Linked DNA regions of Ovis aries. The protein of the gene in region 1 purifies or fractionates together with the protein of each later gene. This does not show direct contact. Links are inferred from orthologs where the notes say so. Each region holds a gene or a part of one and is shown in the gene's direction. Other genes may lie near its edges.

Region 1 (9,133 bases):
TATACTAACCATGTTGTACTTTATATCCCATGACTTACTTGTTTTACAACTAGAAATTTGCTTTTGACTCTCTTCACCCATTTTGCCCATCCCCCGACCCCTCAGGCAACCATCAATCTGTTCTGTGTCTACAAGCTTCTTTTTGGTTTTAGATTCCATATGTCAATGAGACCCCGTGGCATTTGTCTTTTTCTGTCTGACTTCTGTCATCTGTTGTCCATCCGTGTTGTGACAAATGGCAAGATTTCCCTCTTTTTTATGCCTGAATAATATTCCATTGAATTCACGTTTTCTTTATTCATTCCCATCAGTGGACACTTAGGTTGCTTCCACAGTCTTGGCTATTGTAAGAAATGCTGCAATGAACATAGGGGTGAATGTATCCTTTTCAATTACTGTTTTCATCTTCTTTAGATAAGTACCCGGAAGTGGAATTGCTGGATCATATGGTAGTTCTGTTTGTTTGAGGAAACTCCATACTGTTTGTCCATTGTGGCTACACCAGCTTACATGCCTAGGAATAGTGCCCCAGGGTTCCTTTTTCTTGACATCCTTGAATGACACCTGTCATTGCTTGTCTTTTTGATGATGGCCTTTCTGATAGATGTGATATCTCATTGTGGCTTTGATTTGCCTTTCCCTGGTGTTTAGTGATGTTGAGCGCCTCTTCATGTACCTGTTGGCCATGTGTATGTCTTATTTGGAAAAATGTCTATTCAGATCTTCTGCCCATTTTTAAATCAGATTTTCTTTTTGCTTTTGAGTTGTATGAGTTCTTTATATATTTTGGATATTAGTTCTTTATGTATTCTGGTTCTTTATGTATTCTGAATGTTAATCCCTTATCTTGTACATGGTTAGCAATGTACCCCATTCAGTAAGTGGCCCTTTCATTTTGTGGATGATTTCCTGTGCAAAAACACTTAATTTGATATAGTCCAACATTTATTTTTGCTTTTAGTGTCAAATCCAAAAAATAAAATCTCCACATCTGATGTCAAAACATACTGCTTATGTTTTCTCCTGGGACTTTTGTGGTTTCAGTTCTTAGGTTCAAGTATTTAATTCATTTGAGTTAATTTTTGCATAAGGTGTAAAATAGGGGTCCAGTTTCATTCTTCTGCATGTGGCTGTTGAGTTTTCAGAACACCATTTATTGAAGAGACTATCTTTTCTCTGTTGTATATCCTTGGCTCCTTTATTATAAATTAATTGCCCATGTATGCGTCAGTTTATTTCTGGGCTCCCCATTCTAGTCTGTTGATCCATGTGTCTGTTTTTGTGCCAGTACCATACTGTTTTAATTACCGTAGCATTGTAATATAGTATGAAATTAGGGCACACGATGCCTCCAGCTTTGTATTTCTTTCTCAAAATTGCTGTGGCTATTTAGGGTCTTTCCTGATCTCATACACATTGTAGAATTGTTTGGTCTATTTCTGTGAAAAATGCCATTGGAATTTTGATAGGGATTGCACTCAATCTCTCAATTGCTTTGGATAGTATGGACAGCTTAATAATATTAATTCTTCCAGTCCATGAACACAGGATATCTTTTCATTTATTTCTGTCTTCTTCAATGTCTTTTATCAAGGTTTTATCAATGGCTTTTATTATAGTCACAGAGTTGTCCTGTGATTATATTATCACCACAGTAAATTTCAGAACATTTCCATCACTCCAGGTAGAAACTCTGCATCCCTTATCTGTTATCCCACAGTCTCCCCAGCCTGTGGGGATCCACTTTTGTAGATCTATTTTTGTCCTTTTCGAGTGGCCTGTTCTGGAAATACATGTGGAGTCACGCAATGTATAGTCTTTTGTAACTGTGTATTTCACTTAGCATAATGTTTCAAAGTTTATCCATGTTGTAGCACATGTCAGTACTGCATTTCTTTTTATTGCTAAATGATGTTCCACTGTTTGAATAGACCACATGTAGTTTATCCATTTATCAGTTGATGAACATTTGGGTTGTTTCCACTTTGGGGCTTTTGTGAATAATCCTGCTATGAACATTCAAATACAAAGTGTTTGTGTGACTACATTCTTTCGTTTCTCCTAGGTAGATACATAATAGAGGAATTGCCGGATCATCTGGTAACTCTGTTATCTTTTGAGGAACTGCCAGAGTTATTTTCTAAAATGGCAGCATCGTTTTACATCCTCACGGTCTCCATATTCTCACTAGCACTTGCTACCGTTATCTTGGGACTTTGTTTTAAACAGGGTCCCTCTGGCTGCTCTGTGCCGAATAGGCTGAGGGAGACAGAGGTATTAATAGAAGCTGGAGACCCAGTGAGTAGGGACTATAATTGCCCAAGCTGCAGGGCATGGTGCCTGGACCAGAGTGGGGGCAGCAGAGGAGGTGAGAAGTGACTGGATTGTGGACAGACTTTGAAGATGGAGTTAATGGGATTTGTTGCCAGAGCAGTTGTGGGGTGTGAGAAAGGGAGGGGGGGTTAAGATTGACCCATCAACTGACATGAATAAGACTGTGGTAGGAGAGGGTTTGGCAGGTGGACTCAGGAGCTCAGTTTTGGGCAACTGAGTTTGACATACGGCAGACATTCATATGGAATGTCCGGTAGGGACTGGGTATTCCATGCTAGATCAACTGTTGGCAGTCATCGCCCGTTTCTTTAATAATTCAAGTCAGAATTGAATCTGCAATCCAGGGTCTCAGTTTCTCCCTCCAGAAAATGGGATCAGGAGTACCACTGTCATGAGGCTGGGGAATTCCTCTGCAGCACAGGGCAGGGTTGCACATCTGGAAACCAAGGTAATCCGTAGAGTGGAAAGGTCCGCAACTGGGAAGAGAAATGGAGGTTACTCTTGGTTCAGACAGCGTCCGCCTGTCCGTCTCCCCGCCCCCAGCCTCTGGCTGCCATTAGAGACAGGGAGGGAAGATTGGGTCGTCACCCTGCCTTTCCCCGCTCTGAGCCGTGTTTCCTCCTCGGGGGCTGCCCGGGCCAAAACTGCTGATGGAAACCAGCTGCGGGAGGCGCCGAGGTTAGGCGTAAACCCAGGCCCCTCCCCGGCGCCGGCCGACCCCGCTAAGGGAGGGGGACGGGGGCGCCCTAACTCCCCTCCGCTCTTCCGCAGCCGGGCCCGGGGCCCTGGCACGTCCGGCGCGCCTGATGCTTTCCAGATGTGAGCCTAGTTCCCCTCCCCCCACGCAACCTGGCCCTGCTGCTCCCGCGCGATAGGGGGTTGGGGAGCCAGGGTCCGATATCCCCCTATCAAATTGGGGACCCAGGCCCGTATCCCCTGCCGGCCGGTCTTGCTTCCCTGCTCAGGCAGTAAAAACCGAATTGGGATGGAATGACTGCAGTAAAGAGGCTTCTTTCCGCGACCTCCACGTCTCCCCGGGGCTCGGCCTCCGCCCCTCCCTCAGCCCGCTAGGGAGGCGAGGTCGGGAGCTGGTCCCAAGACCCGCCCCTCGCGGCAAACCACACCCAGGACACGCCCCAAAGACACGCCCCGAACACGCCCCTTCTACCCCCACCCCGAACTTCCACGCCCCTTTGGCGGCCCAGAGGTCTTGCCTCTGGGAAGCGCCTCTGCAGACTCCGCCTCTGCCGTCTGGTCCCCTGCGGAGGGTGCGGTCGGTCGTGTCTGTGTCTCTACCCTCTTCTGTCTGTGTCTCGGTGTCCGTGTTTCTCAGTCACCGTTTCTGACTGTACTTTTCTGCCTGCGTGTCTCTCCTGCACGTCTCAGTCTCTGCAACCCTCTGCCTGTCTCTGTCTCTCTTAGTCCCTGGGTCCCCATCTCTCCAAATTTCCGTCTCTGTGTCCCTATCTCTGCCTCTGTCTCTCCCGGCATCTCTCTCTCCCTCTCTCTGAATTTCTGTGTCCGGTCCATCTTCAGTGAGCTTTCTCTAGCTCCCTCCACCTTTCTGTGTCTCTCCCACCTCTAATTCCCAGCTTGCCAGCGGGGGCGCTTTGCCCTCCGGGTTTCTACCTCCTACGGCTTTGGCGCCGGCGGAGTGGGCGGTTCGGCGGACCGCGGGCGCCCCCGTGTGGCCGGCAGGAAGCTGCCAGGAGACGACTGCGGGCTGAGTGTGCAGCGCCCGCGAGTGTGTTCAGGGCAGGACACTATGGGTGACACTCGCTGTGTGAGTGTGTACCACTCTGAGATCGCGCGTGAAGTCCAGAGGTTGTGCGTAGCTGTGTGACCTTGTGAGATTTTCTGTGACAACCAGAAACTGGGCGTGACTGTGAAACTGTGTTCAGTTCAGTAAAGTTCAGTCGCTCAGTCGTGTCCGACGCTTTGCGACCCCATGCACTGCAGCATGCCAGGCTTCCCTGTCCATCGCCAACTCCCGGAGTTTATTCAAACTCATGTCCATTGAGTCGGTGATGCCATCCACCCATCTCACGCTCTGTTGTCCCCTTCTCCTCCTGCCTTCAATCTTTCCCAGCGTCAGGGTCTTTTCAAATGAGTCAGTTCTTCCAATCGTGTTACACCGAGACATTGTGTGTGACCGTTTACGTGAGTGACCGAGATGACGTATCGGTGACTGCATGTGACACCATGAGTTTGGGGGTCCCTGAGACACTATTTGGAGGACTGTGACATTGAGAGACCATGTGTGAGCAAGAGGTTGTGTGTGACAGTGTGCAATATGGTGAGGATGGGAGAGTTGTGTGTGTCCATGGGGAGAGGGTGTGTGAGAGACGGCAAGAATGAATGAGAATGGCCCACCAAGTAATGGCGTGAGAAGCAGTGTGAGAGACGTGGGGAGGGAAGCTGAGTGTGAATGACCTTGTGAGTGTGCGACAAGGGTGTGTCAGTCACAGTGATGACGTGTGAGATGCTGGGTGTGACTGTGTGTCACACAGATCGTGTGGGGCCCTGAGAGACTGGCAGAGTGTCATGGCAGTGCATTAGAGAATGTGCAACTGTCCAGGGCGCTCAGATGAGCATGCAAGAAAAACTGCATGGGTGTGAGCTGTGACACCAGGCGGCTGCGGTATGAGGGCAGCACCTGTGTGTGATACAGACTGTGTGAGGCTCAGCAAGACATCTTGAGAGGTTGCGTGTGGTCCTGTGTGGAACTGCGCGTGTGTGTCTCTACACCTGACGCTCAGAGGTTGTCCCTCTGACTGTGGTTGTGTAAGATGTCACTGGTGGTGATGGGCCTCTCAGAGAGATCGTGAGGGACCGTGTGACATGACTGTGGCGCCGCGAAAGGTTAGGGTGGTTCAGGAGACTGTACGCAGCATCATGTGAGGCATCTCTGCGAGGGACTGTGAGTGTGACTCTGTGTGCTGAGAGGGCATTATTTGGGGTGGGGTGACACGGAGGTTGTGGGTGTGACAGGGTGGCCGAGCGTATGTAATGGAGTGTGAGGCTGTGTGAACGCACAGGAGAGATCTGGATGACTGTGGGATAAATGCGGCAGAGTGGGGTTGGGGGGGGGCTCATCCTAAGACTCTTTTCCTGTGAGTGTGTGTGTGTGTGTGTGTGTGTGTGTGTGTGTGTGAGTGTGACGGAGACAGAGACAGAGATTGAAAAGGGAGACTGACACAGAGAGAGAGAGAAAGGAAGAGAGAGACGGACACACAAAGACAAAGAGAGACGGACAGATGTAATGAGAGGACCCAGAGAGACAGGACTCGAGGGCGAGGGGCATGCTGGTGGCGTAGCAGGAGGAGGCGGGTCCTCAGGGGCTGTGCCCCAGGAGAGGGGGCGGGGCAGAACCGAGGTGGGTACAGACGCTGTGTCTCTGCCACCCGCCTGCCTTCCCAGCCCTGAGCAGCAACAGGTAGGAGGCTGTGGTCCTGAACCCCGACAGCTGGTCCCTCTGCCTGGGAACGAGTGAATGCGCGAGCGGATGAGTGACTTTATCCTTGCTCATCTCCCTCAGCCTGCCTTTCCCTCTGTCTCTCCGTGTGCCCTCCTCTGTCCTTTTTCATCACTCTGGGTCCCCTCCTGCCCCTCCACTTCTTTCTCTCTGTTCCCTGCCTTTCTCCCCTCTCTCCCCCTGCCTCTAGCGCTCTAGTTGCCCTTCTGTCTACTCTCGCCCACCTCCGTCACTCCATCTCTCCCTCAGCCTCCTGTCGCCCCTTCTTTTTCCTCCCTCTGTGCTTTGGTCCGCGCTGTGCTTCTCTCTCCCATAGCACTCTGCCTCTCTCCTCACACCCCTCTCTCCCTGTCTCCACTCCCTTCAGCACTCTGTCCCACCCGCCTGTCTCTCCATCTTTCTCTCCCTCAGTCTCTTTATTCCCCCTCCCTCTCCCCATCTCTCTCTGCTCCTCTCTGTCGCAATCCTCCCTGTCCCTCTCCCAGTCCTGGCTGTGTTGCCCCCCTCTCCAGCCCTTTCTAAGGCTGCTAATGAGCAGAGGAGCCTTTGAGGTGGCCAGGGTTGGGATGGGGGGCTCCCCGAGGGGGGCGGAGGGGGCAGCTGCTGCCAAGGCCCTAATGAGGCCCCCTCTGGCCCCTCCCGCGGTGATCTTAATTCCCTCTTCTCCGGGGAGGCCCTGCTAATTGGCCTGGGGAGGGCCCCCTCCTGGCTCTTGCGCTCTCCCCGGGAGGCGAGGACACCTGGATCTCTGGATCTAACACCTGTGTCCCTGTCCTCTGTCCCTCCCTCCCCCTGCCTCTCGGCCTCCCGTCTGTGCTTCCCTCCTGCCTTCCCTCTCTTCCCTCCTTCACCTGCCTCTAGGTACCCCATCTGTGCACCCCTCCAAGCCTTCTCTTGGCCTGCTCGTCCCTGTTCCTAGGTCCCCCTTTCGGCCGGCTTCTTGGCCCCCCATCTGCGCAGATCTCCATCGCTCCCCTTTCCTTCTGTTTTCCTGTCTCTTCCTCCACTCTGGGCACCGCATCGGTGAGCCCTTCCACGCACGCCCCTATTAGTGGGTTCCACCGCCACCGCCAACCCTATCTGGGGACCCACCTTTGCCCTAGCCTACTCCTTCGCCCCCACTCCCACCGGCTTTTAACCTTTCCCCGCCGCAGCCATGTCCAACAACATGGCCAAGATCGCGGAGGCCCGGAAGACCGTGGAGCAGCTGAAGCTGGAGGTGAACATCGACCGCATGAAGGTGCTGGGTCGGGCTGGGGAGGAAGGCCGCGGGCTCCGGGGCTGGAGTCTGGACTGGTCAGACTTGGGAGTGGAGCCGGGAGCCCGGGTGGAAAGATCCCCTTCGGAACGGGACTGGACTCCAAGGATAGGGGGTGGAGGGTGGGGAGCGGCTGGACAAGGGGGCTGGACCGAGAGGGGGCGGGGCCTAAGGGCGGGGGCTGGCAATAGGAGAGGCCTGGACACGGGGGCGGAGCCTGACGGGGGCGGGCCTGACTAGAGGAAGGGCCCAGGCAGGGGGCGTGGCCCAGGCAGGGGCGGGGCGGGGGCGGGTGGGGCGGGGCGGGGCGGGGCGGGCGGGGCGGGGCGGGGCGGGCGGTGCGGGGCGGGGCGGGGGGGGGCGGGGCGGGGCGGGGCGGGGCGGGGCGGGGGTGGGCGTGGACATCTTCCCCTGGGTGCCCGCAGGTGTCGCAGGCAGCGGCCGAGCTCCTGGCCTTCTGCGAGACTCACGCCAAAGATGACCCGCTGGTGACGCCGGTACCCGCCGCAGAGAACCCCTTCCGAGACAAGCGCCTCTTCTGCGTCCTGCTCTGAGCCCTCCCGACCCCCCTACCCCGTCAAAATATGAATCCAATAAACGTGGTGACTGCGGGGGTGCCTGTGCTCTCGGGGAAACTGAGGCACATGCAGAACCTGGGGCCACCATGGAGGAGCCCGTGTCCCTTCTCATTCCTTCTTCGTGTGTGTGGAGTGTGGGGGTGTGGGGCGAGGTTATGTGGATGCAGGGCAGGGGGATTATCAGAGGACATCCTACTTCCTGGCTCTGGCCTCCACGGAGTGTTCCCGCGATCCTGAATTGATTTAATCATCCCAACAGCCCCAGAAAGCAATTGGCTACGTATATGAGGAAACTGAGCCAAAGGAGGTCCCTTACTCAGAGTCACAAGCTAAGAGATAATGGGGTGAAGACTGGACGCTCCTGCTCCCTGAACCTCTCGGCTGGCGGCTCTTCTTGCCTCTCTCCTGGGCTGGAGGTCTTTAGAATACCCAGTACCCACCTTTTTCGTCCCCTGAATGATTACAACCCCTTTTTACACATGGGCCTACTCCCTACCACAGCCCCACCCCCACAAGCACTGAACTTGTCCCTGTTCCTTTATTCATTCTTCCAAACACTCCTGGACCTGTAATAGTTGAAACAGGGGTCATGGACACTACCAAGACAGCCCTGGCCCCGGGTTCCTGGGGTTCAGAATCCAGTGGGAGTGATAGAGCTGTCCTGGGATAGTGATGATTCAGAGTGGGCAGAGCTGGGATGGGGGAATTCAGAGGGAAGGCCTGACTCAGCTTGAAGGTCAGGGAGGGCTTCCTGGAGGAGGGGACATCTGAGCTGGTACAGGGTGGGAATTAAACATGGGGTAGAGAAGAGAGAAGTGAGGCTACAGGAGACAAATCAGTACGTACATTCTTTTCTATTTCCTTTTTTCTGAGGACATGGATTACGGTGACAGCCCTGATTCCTCTTCTGTGTTTCCCACTTCATACACTGGTGATTTCCAGGACCTGTATTTGCTGTTTAGCTGCTAAGTTGTGTCTGACTTTTTGGGACCCCATGGACTGTGGCCCACCAGGCTCCTCTGTCCATGTGATATTCCAGGCAAGAATACTGGAGTGGGTAGCCACTTCCTTCTCCAGGGAATCTTCCCCACCTAGGGAATGAACCCATGTCTCCTTCATTGCAGGCAAATTCATTACCACTGAGCCACCAGGGAAGCCCTTTTAGGACCTACATGCCGGCAGTTAAATGAGAGTACTTCACATAAATGCCCACCTTGATGGCTTCTTCCATTTGGAAGGTCTGGGTGACCTTAGAACTGCACAATCTCCAGGGTGACCAGAGGCTATGATATGGGGCCCTGGCTTTCCAGTTTGCCAAAATCCCCACCACACACTATTGTCTCCCAGTGAGGGACACTGGGGATCAGACACTATTTACCACAGAGCCTGTGCCAGGAGCTTCTTACAGAGAAATGAAGAGAAAGGTAAAATGCCTTGAACCCATGATTCTGTTGAAAATAAAGAAATGCAGACTGGGTGAGCTATGGG
Region 2 (8,362 bases), on another chromosome or scaffold:
ACATTTGACAAAAATGAAAACATGGCTGCCAAAAAGAAGTCTGTTGCTATGCACACCAACTACCTATCGGCCTGCAGCTTCACCAACTCTGACATGCAGGTAAATCAGGGGCCTGGGTGATGATGCGCCAGCCTGCAGGGGGAGCGAGTTCGGTCTCAGAGAACTAAAGAGGGGGTGCAGGTGAGGAAACTGTTCCAGTATCCCTCTTTACGGGAGAATGTGTATGCTCCAGCAGTTGGCCCTAAGAGGAAGCTCCTGTTGCTTCTCACTGGTTTTATATGTACTATAATTTATATATATATATAATTTTATATAGAAGGCTAAGTCACTTTAGTTGACTCTTTGCAACCCTGTGATCATATCCCACCAGGCTCCTCTGTCCATGGGATTCTCTAGGCAAGAGTGCTAGAGTGGGTTGCCATGCCCTCCTCCAGGGGATCGTTAAACCCAGGGATTGAACCCCTGTCTCATGTCTACTGCATTGGCAGGCGAGTTCTTTACCACTAGTGCCACCTAGGAAGGCCAAATAGAATATATATTATAATTTTGGCCACACCACATGGCTTGCTGAATCTCAGTTCCCCAACCAGGGATTGAACCCAGGCCACAATGATGAAAGTATGGAATCCAAACCACTAGCCCACCAGGGAACTCCTAGTTACATTACTGTTTTTAATAAAATCAGAAATAGGTAAAGTCGGGGCTATTGATTGTTGGTACAGTTGAAATGAATTCCTTGCCATATCAAACCTCCTCCTCTAATTGAGTTGGTGGGGGTGGGAGTGGATCAGGGAACCTTCTGGGGTGGTGGAAATTCCTTTCTTGAGTCAGAGAAGTGGTCCCAAGGTCCTTCTGTGTATAGAATTTCACTGGGTGCTGACTTTCAGAGTTGTGCACTTGGCACACCTCATTGTACCTATATTAGACTTCTGTTTTAACAAATGGGAAAAAAGAAGGCTTCATATAGAAAATCTGTACCCTACTTTGAATAAGCCACAAAGTGGAGGTAATACGTAGGCTGCGTTTTCTTTCAGAATCCTAAACATCCTACACTGCCTTTGTCACGTCTCTCCAGCAAACCCTCATAGATGCCACCACCCACGTGGCCAGCTACCAGTGGTGGCTGCACAGCAGGGAGGCTGGGAGCCTGGAGCAGGAGTAGGGGGTCATAAACATGCCTTGAGAGGCTGCCTTGGCGGACAGTGTGTTGCCAGTGTGGTATGAGGGGAGCGCTGTGGGAGGCAGGCAGCCTGAGAGGTAGGAGGGCTAGGTTACATGCCCTGCATGGTGGAGCGGACCCTATAGACGGTAGGCGGCCATTGCAGGGGCTGGGGCAGGTTGGGTTTATTTGAAGGAGGAGACTGTGTGAGTCCGACTAAAGCCCGTTCTGGTTTCAGCTGAGTGATGTCAGGAGGCGGGCCAGCAAGGGTAGTGGTAGGGAGACCTGGTGATGGGAAATTGTTTGGCTGCTGTCTGGGGACAGTGTTCTGATTGGGAGGGCAGTGTTTACCCCTGTTCCTTGCCACCAGGAGTCTCGCAGGTCTGTGCAGGAGGGGGCACGGTGGCCCTGGCCGTTCCTCACGTCTTTGGGTGTGAGGAGCAGCCAAAGCAACAGAAGACGTTTAGTCTGATGTTCTAGCTGGTCAATTCTAAATAAGGTTTTATTATCCTCTGTGTTTCGTTTTTCTCACTTGCAAGGGAGGATGGTAGTATATTCCTCCCTCATGAGGTTTTCTGAGGGTTAAATGAGATGATTCATGTAAAGTACTTAGTGTTGTTGCTTAGTAGCTAAATTGTGTCTGACTCTTTTGAAACCCCATGAACTGTAGCCCACCAGGCTCCTCTGTCCATAGGATTTCCCAGGCAAGAATACTGCAGTGGGTTGCCATTTCCTTCTCCAGAAGTACTTGATATAAACCTTGGTAAATATCAATAAATGCTAGCTTTTATTATTTTATTATTAACACAAAGCTTCACAGGTGATTCAGATGTATGGCCTTTTTTGGGTACCACTGAACTCATGAACTAAGCCTCCTTCCAGCCCTGGGATCTAGGATGAAAAATGGAAACCTCAAAAGGCTGGTATAAGACCTGCAGGTTCTCTGCATCCTAAAATAAATGAGTGACAGTGGAGTTAGAGGATCTGTTTAGTGCATTTATCATTATGAATGTTTGATTTTTAAATTTTATTTTTACTTACATTATAATGAAGATTACAAGTATTTAAAATATTTTAAAGATTAAGAATTTACTGTTAACGTTTAAAAACTATTCATTTCTTTGATCAAAGAGTATGCCAGGAAAAATTTCCATTAAAGAGCTAGACTGAGGACTTTCCTGGTGTCTCAGATGATAAGATAAAGAATCTGCCTGCAATGAAGACCTAGGCTCAATCCCTGGGTCCGGAAGATTCCCTGGAGAAGGGAATGGCAACCCACTCCAGTATTCTTGCCTGGAGAAACCCATGGAAAGAGAAGCCTGGTGGGCTATAGTCCTTGGAGTCACAAGGAATCAGACATGACTAAAGTGACTTAGCACAGCACACTCTGTTTCATTAATTTTTTACAAAGCTATTAGTCCTGATAAGTAAGTTGTTTAGTTAGTTCAGAGTCTTATCTCATAGGATCAGGTTATTTCCTGGAGCAAGCAGCTAGTTTATTTTTAGTTGGTTTCAGTATTGTCTAATGCAGCACTGGGAAAGTGTGGCTTGCCCTGGAATTGATTAACACGGTGACAGGGAGTCAAATGGGTTTCCTGCCAGGCCTGTTAATGGAGCTCCAGGAGAGCAGCGACCAAGGCACGGTCTTTCTTCAGCCCTGCCACCTAGTGGAGGGCCTGGACGTGGTCAGCACACAGCAAAGGCCTTGGCCCTGCACGTGTGTGTCCACACCACTCAGTGGGCCAGGGAGCCTCTGGGTGTGGGGCGCACGTTAATGTCTGGGAAGCTCAGTGGTAGGCTTGGCTGCCTGTGGGACCCGCTGGGGGTTCTGTTCAGCAGGTGTTCACAGAGCGCTTCCTACGTGTCAGGCAGGCAGGTACTGCAGGAAGGCCTCCAGATTTCATCCTCTGCAAGAGGACAGGTATGTAAACAGCTCACGACAGCAAGGGTGTCAAAAATGGGCTGTCTTTCTCGGTACTGGAGAAAGAGTTCTGTGCTAGAGTCCAGATTAAGCAGGGGTGTGTGTGTGTGTGTGTGTGTGTGTGTGTGTGTGTGTGTGTGGAGCCTTCTCTTCCCTGTGGAACTGCAAGTGACTGCTTGGCTTCCCCAGAGGCCCTAATGACACCCTTCCTGTGCTTTCCGGCGGCAGATCCTGACGGCGAGTGGCGACGGCACATGTGCCCTGTGGGATGTGGAGAGCGGGCAGTTGCTGCAGAGCTTCCATGGGCATGGGGCCGACGTGCTCTGCCTGGACCTGGCCCCATCAGAAACTGGGAACACCTTCGTGTCTGGGGTAAAGATCCCAGGAAGATCTCTAGGAGCCCTCTGTCCACCAGGGAGCCTCAGGGTGGCACTTCCTGTCAATCTGTGGGACTAAACGGGACACCCCTGGAGCGGGGCTGAGACTCCTTGGCTGAGTAGCAGAGAGTCGGCATCCGAGAGCAGTAGAGACAGCAGCCAGGGCACCAGGCAGCTCAGGCAGAAACAGCGGTGAGGCATAGCTGTGGTGCGATCAGGGCTTTGGCACGAGTGGGACACTCTCCCAGCCCACCCCTGCCAGCCTCCAGCCCCTCCAGCTCCCAGGCACAGGGAACAGTGTGTCTGAAGGCTGAGTTGGGCAGGCAGGCCATCATGGCAAAGGAGCACCAGCGAGGAGTTAGGACACCTGGGACCCACCTTTGCTGCCTGACTCCACATTTCATCCTTTGTAAATTGTGCAGAAGGCACAAAAGCATTGGCCCCCCACCTCCCCATATATTCTACTGTATTATGAATAGTAGAGGGAAGAGTTTCCAGTGTTTTATGCAAGTAAGAGAGACAAGTATTTCTAGGACATCTGGGAATAAGTGTGGAGAACTGAGCTGGCTGATCTGACCGTGGTCCTGTCTCATCTCTGTCAAGAGTCAGTGGTGGGAGGGGACAGAGATGCAGACACCATCTAATGATGCTTGCAACTGGAAGACATAAAGGCCCTTTGTTCCAAGCTGCCCACCTCTTAGTTCTGGACCTCAGATGAGGGTTGTGAAGCCTCTAATTGGCAGGGACCCTGATTTTTTTCTTGGATATTTGGCCCCATCTATGTAAGTTTAATTCCCATGTCTTTGTATAACTGTATTTATCATCTCCAATCAACTACACTGTTTTTTCAGATTGTTGATATCATTATAGATCGTATTCTCTCTTTCAGAGTACTAAACTTCATGGTTTAGGGTCCTCCAAAGATTTGAAGACACTCTGATTCCTTTGTCCACATTCTCAGTAAAGATGTTGGAGAGTTGAATCCCCATTGCAGGTCTTTCTGAAACATCAGTATGGTACCTCACCCACCCCTTCCTCTGAGTTGAAACCAGCAATCTAATTTTAACCCATTTTTCCTTCTGTTTGTCCTTTGAGAATCTAATTATGCTGCTCATGGTTGATCACAGACTGCTCTGCAGAAATTTATCAAAATGCTCTTAGAAGCAGGATGCTATGCATAAACTTGGTGTTTTTGATTCTCTGGATCATGTTAGCTACCCAGAGAGGGTTCATTTTATAGGTGTTGAGGTGGAAACCCAGGGAAGTGACTTGCCTGAGCCACCCAGCTGACTATGGGCACCCCCCTGACTAGGCTGCTGGGCTATAGCTGGCCAGAAGCACCTGGCTGGCCACCTGTGTTCAGGCTGCCCCACACACCTGAGGCAAGCCTGGGAGGTCCCACCATCCCCACTCTCCACTTGCCCTCCCCTCTGGCCTTATAGAAGCAGAGATAGAGAGGAGGGGGAAACATGAAGAGAAATGCCTAGGAGGAAGGGGAGAAGGAGGCCCTGGAGAACTTGCAGCCATTAAGAAAGATGGCAGAGAAGAAAACGTGCTATAAAAAGGGTGTCTGGGTACTTTCTTTTGCTTCCCCTACCCCAGGACCTAGCTCTGACCTCCTGAGGTCAGAGGGAAGTGGCCTTAAATAAAGCTAGTCTCAGAAAAAAAAAAAAGCACGTTGTCAGAGCCGTTTACTAATGGGAACTGAACGATCTCTGTGATATAACGAGAACTCATACCTGTGTGTGGGCAGTCCTTGCAGTAGTCATAACTCTGGGCAACTTTGCGTTTGCAGGGATGTGACAAGAAAGCCATGGTGTGGGACATGCGCTCTGGACAGTGCGTGCAGGCCTTTGAAACACACGAATCTGACATCAATAGTGTCCGGTCCGTGAGTAGAATGTTCACATAGCTTCTCTATTTTCCACTGTCTCCCGGCCTGGGCTAATGCTTAGCCTCCAGCCTCAATTTACTTTGCTGAGAGAGGCTTTTCCAGCAATAACAGCTGGTGTGTGGTGAGACCGATCAGTACTCCAGATTTCTTGGAGAATTTCAATGTAATTGCACCAGGGGCAATGGCTATTTCCTGTCTAAACGAAGTCAGTGTTTTTTGTTCATTCATTCAACCAATATTTATTAAGTACTTATCTGCTGAACATTATTCCAGGAACTGGGAATACTGTTTTAAACAAGATAAAAATTTCTACTTTCCTATAGAAGACAAACAAGACAAAGCACAGATAAATGTGCAGTGTACAAAAATACTGATAAGTTTCATTGAAAAGTAAAACAGGGAACTGTGATGGAGATAGGTTATTTCTTTGACTGGTCAAGCATCTCTGAGAAATTGATGTTTAAATTGATACCAGGATAGTGAAGGACCCAGGCATTCAAAGAGCTGGGAGGAGGATCAGGGAGATGAGATGCTCAGGGACCTAACAAAAGACCAGGTGACCACTTGAGGTGGCTAACATGATGCATGTTTTGTCTTTAAAAGATCACTCTGGCTGCTGTATGGAGAATGCATTGTAGGGGAATGAGAATGGAAGTATTATGGCCAGTTAGAAGGCTGTTGTGTGAGTTCCAGATAGAAATGATGGTGGCTGAAACCAAAGAAGACACAGTGAGGATAGAAATGTCTAGAATTGGGAAGGATTTGAGATTTTACCCTAATTGCAGGCCATCAAGTAAGGCTGCCAGAGTTTCATGGGTGCTGGTAAAAGGCACAAGATTCCTGGGTTAGAGATGAAGGATAGTTGATTACTAATAGTGATGGTAGTAGCTATGCTAGTTATCCAAGCTCCAGTATCACAGGGTGACATGAAAAGGACTAAATGACACCTGCATGTGCAAGGGGTTGCATTTCAGGAGGAGAACCCTGAGCTCAGGGAACCTGAATCTTTTATAAAGGACATAAACACTGATCCATTTGCTAAAACTGGGAGAGTTGGAAGCACTGCAGGGAGAAGGCAATGGTTGCACATGGCTTCTGGAGTTCTGTCTTGGGCTAGCCAAGCTTGAGATGCTGTTGTATGACCAAGTGGAGATGTCAAGTAGGTAGCCAGATCTCTGAACTGGATTCCAAGAGAGAGGTCAGGACTTAACATATCCATTTGGAAGATGGCACCATCAGGACAACATTTAAAGTATAACCACTGAAGAATCTTCATTTTACTTAGGGGAAAGCACTAGAATTATTCCCCTTAAAAGCTAGAACACAGTAAGAATAATTACTTTATTAGTAGAAATGTTAATAAGAATTTTCTAGCTCACTGACCTTAAATGTAGGAAGGGGAAAAAAACTATCAGTTTTTGCAGATGTGTAGAGAGTACCTAGAAAATCCAAGGAAATAATTTGAGAAATTACTACAGTAGGTGAAGTTATTAAGATACAGGGATAGACTATAAAGCTACAAAAATAAATTCCTATATATTCATGAAATAACAACTTAAAATTGTATATTCTCTCACCCATACTGTTCCCTCAACCCAGAACCCTCTTCTAATGTTCATCAGGTTTCAACTTACAGTACCCTCTCTCCAGATGGCCTGATTATTGAGGAGAGGAGGACTGTAACAGTAATAATATCATTTGTTGCATGCATTTTATCTGGCCCCATACCATGTTTTTTGTGTATACTGTCTTATTCAGTCTTTAGGAAATGTACATTATCTTCCTCACTTTTCAGATGAAGAAACTGAGGCTGGGCCAGTCAAAGTCACTTACCAAAAGTATCCCCTGTAGTGAGTGGTCATTGTAGTCCCCTTTCATCCAATTGCAGTGTCTGTGTTTGTTAGCACTGTCTTATCCCTGAGCTCTGGCCAAGCCTTTGGAATGGGGCGTGTGATCAAGGGAAAGTAAGGATATAGGCATCTGCCTGTGTTCAGTGTCAGATACAAATAGACATATTGTCTCATTTATCCTCATCAACCCTCTGCAAGGCCAGTGTCACTGTCCCCTGTTTACAGAGAAGAAACTAAGGTAGGCCAGTGGGGTCTTCCGGCTGAGCCTACATTTCTGGTCTCTGTAATGAGAAGTCCTTGTGTCCCTAGAGTCCGAGGGCCCAGCGTGGGACGGCCTTCCCGGAGGCTTCTGATGGTCACCCAAGATTGGGAATCACTGCTCTAAGTGCCTTCTCCCCACACTTTCTCTCTGCAGGTACTACCCAAGTGGAGATGCTTTTGCTTCGGGATCAGATGATGCTACGGTATGTTTAAGTCCTCAAGAGCTTTTCCTATTTGAAGGAGAGATATGCTGACTTAATTTTACTTTTCAAAAATAATTGTTTTCCTGATTACAGAACTGATATGACTTCTATAAAGAAAACTTAGGGGGGAAAAACTAAATTTTGTTAATCATTCTACACAAGAAAAATCACAGTTGAGTAAATTCCTTTCTGTCTTTTTAGTTTTTAAACAAATGCTGTTTTATAATTTGCTTTTTGCACTTAGCAATAGATTGTGAACATTTTCTCATGCCAATAAATACTTTCCTATATTATATTTTCTTAATGGTTGAATAGTTTTCCGTATTATGGATATATCATCATTTACTAACCAATCTTCAATCTGGGGACATTTAGGTGTTTTTTAAGGGTTTTTTTCCCCGTTAAAAACTCTGCTATAAGCAAATATTTTTGATACCTCTCTTATTGTTTCCTTAGGATGAATTCTCATATGTAAACTTGATGAGTCAAAAACTGGCCTAATTTTAAGGCTTTTGATACTAGTTGCAAAATAATGTTGACCGGTTTTTCAACAGGCACAACCTTACTGTGCTCTCAAAATAGCAAATAACTTATTAAATAATGAATTTCACCTTAGTTTGCTATTGTGAAAGAAATTACAAGGAATAGATTGAGAGTTTGATAATAATGAAAATTTAAAACTTCTGTATGCCAAAGA

What was found.
Region 2: the proteins of GNG8 (region 1) and GNB5 purify together in Homo sapiens (co-immunoprecipitation; 3 studies listed by BioGRID and IntAct, with this or other methods). This does not show direct contact. The link is inferred for Ovis aries from reciprocal best matches to the Homo sapiens genes GNG8 and GNB5.

Annotation. Positions count from the first base shown.
Region 1 is NC_056067.1:53,538,603-53,547,735, reverse strand, and holds GNG8 (guanine nucleotide-binding protein G(I)/G(S)/G(O) subunit gamma-8), read left to right. Parts: upstream 1-3,529; 5' UTR 3,530-3,602; intron 3,603-5,736; exon of another isoform or gene 5,737-6,670; 5' UTR 6,671-6,965; coding exon 6,966-7,049; intron 7,050-7,492; coding exon 7,493-7,621; 3' UTR 7,622-7,739; downstream 7,740-9,133. UniProt on the Homo sapiens protein: Guanine nucleotide-binding proteins (G proteins) are involved as a modulator or transducer in various transmembrane signaling systems.
Region 2 is NC_056060.1:56,350,626-56,358,987, forward strand, and holds part of GNB5 (guanine nucleotide-binding protein subunit beta-5), read left to right. Parts: coding exon 1-99; intron 100-3,308; coding exon 3,309-3,452; intron 3,453-5,252; coding exon 5,253-5,344; intron 5,345-7,616; coding exon 7,617-7,665; intron 7,666-8,362. UniProt on the Homo sapiens protein: Enhances GTPase-activating protein (GAP) activity of regulator of G protein signaling (RGS) proteins, such as RGS7 and RGS9, hence involved in the termination of the signaling initiated by the G protein coupled receptors (GPCRs) by accelerating the GTP hydrolysis on the G-alpha subunits, thereby promoting their inactivation.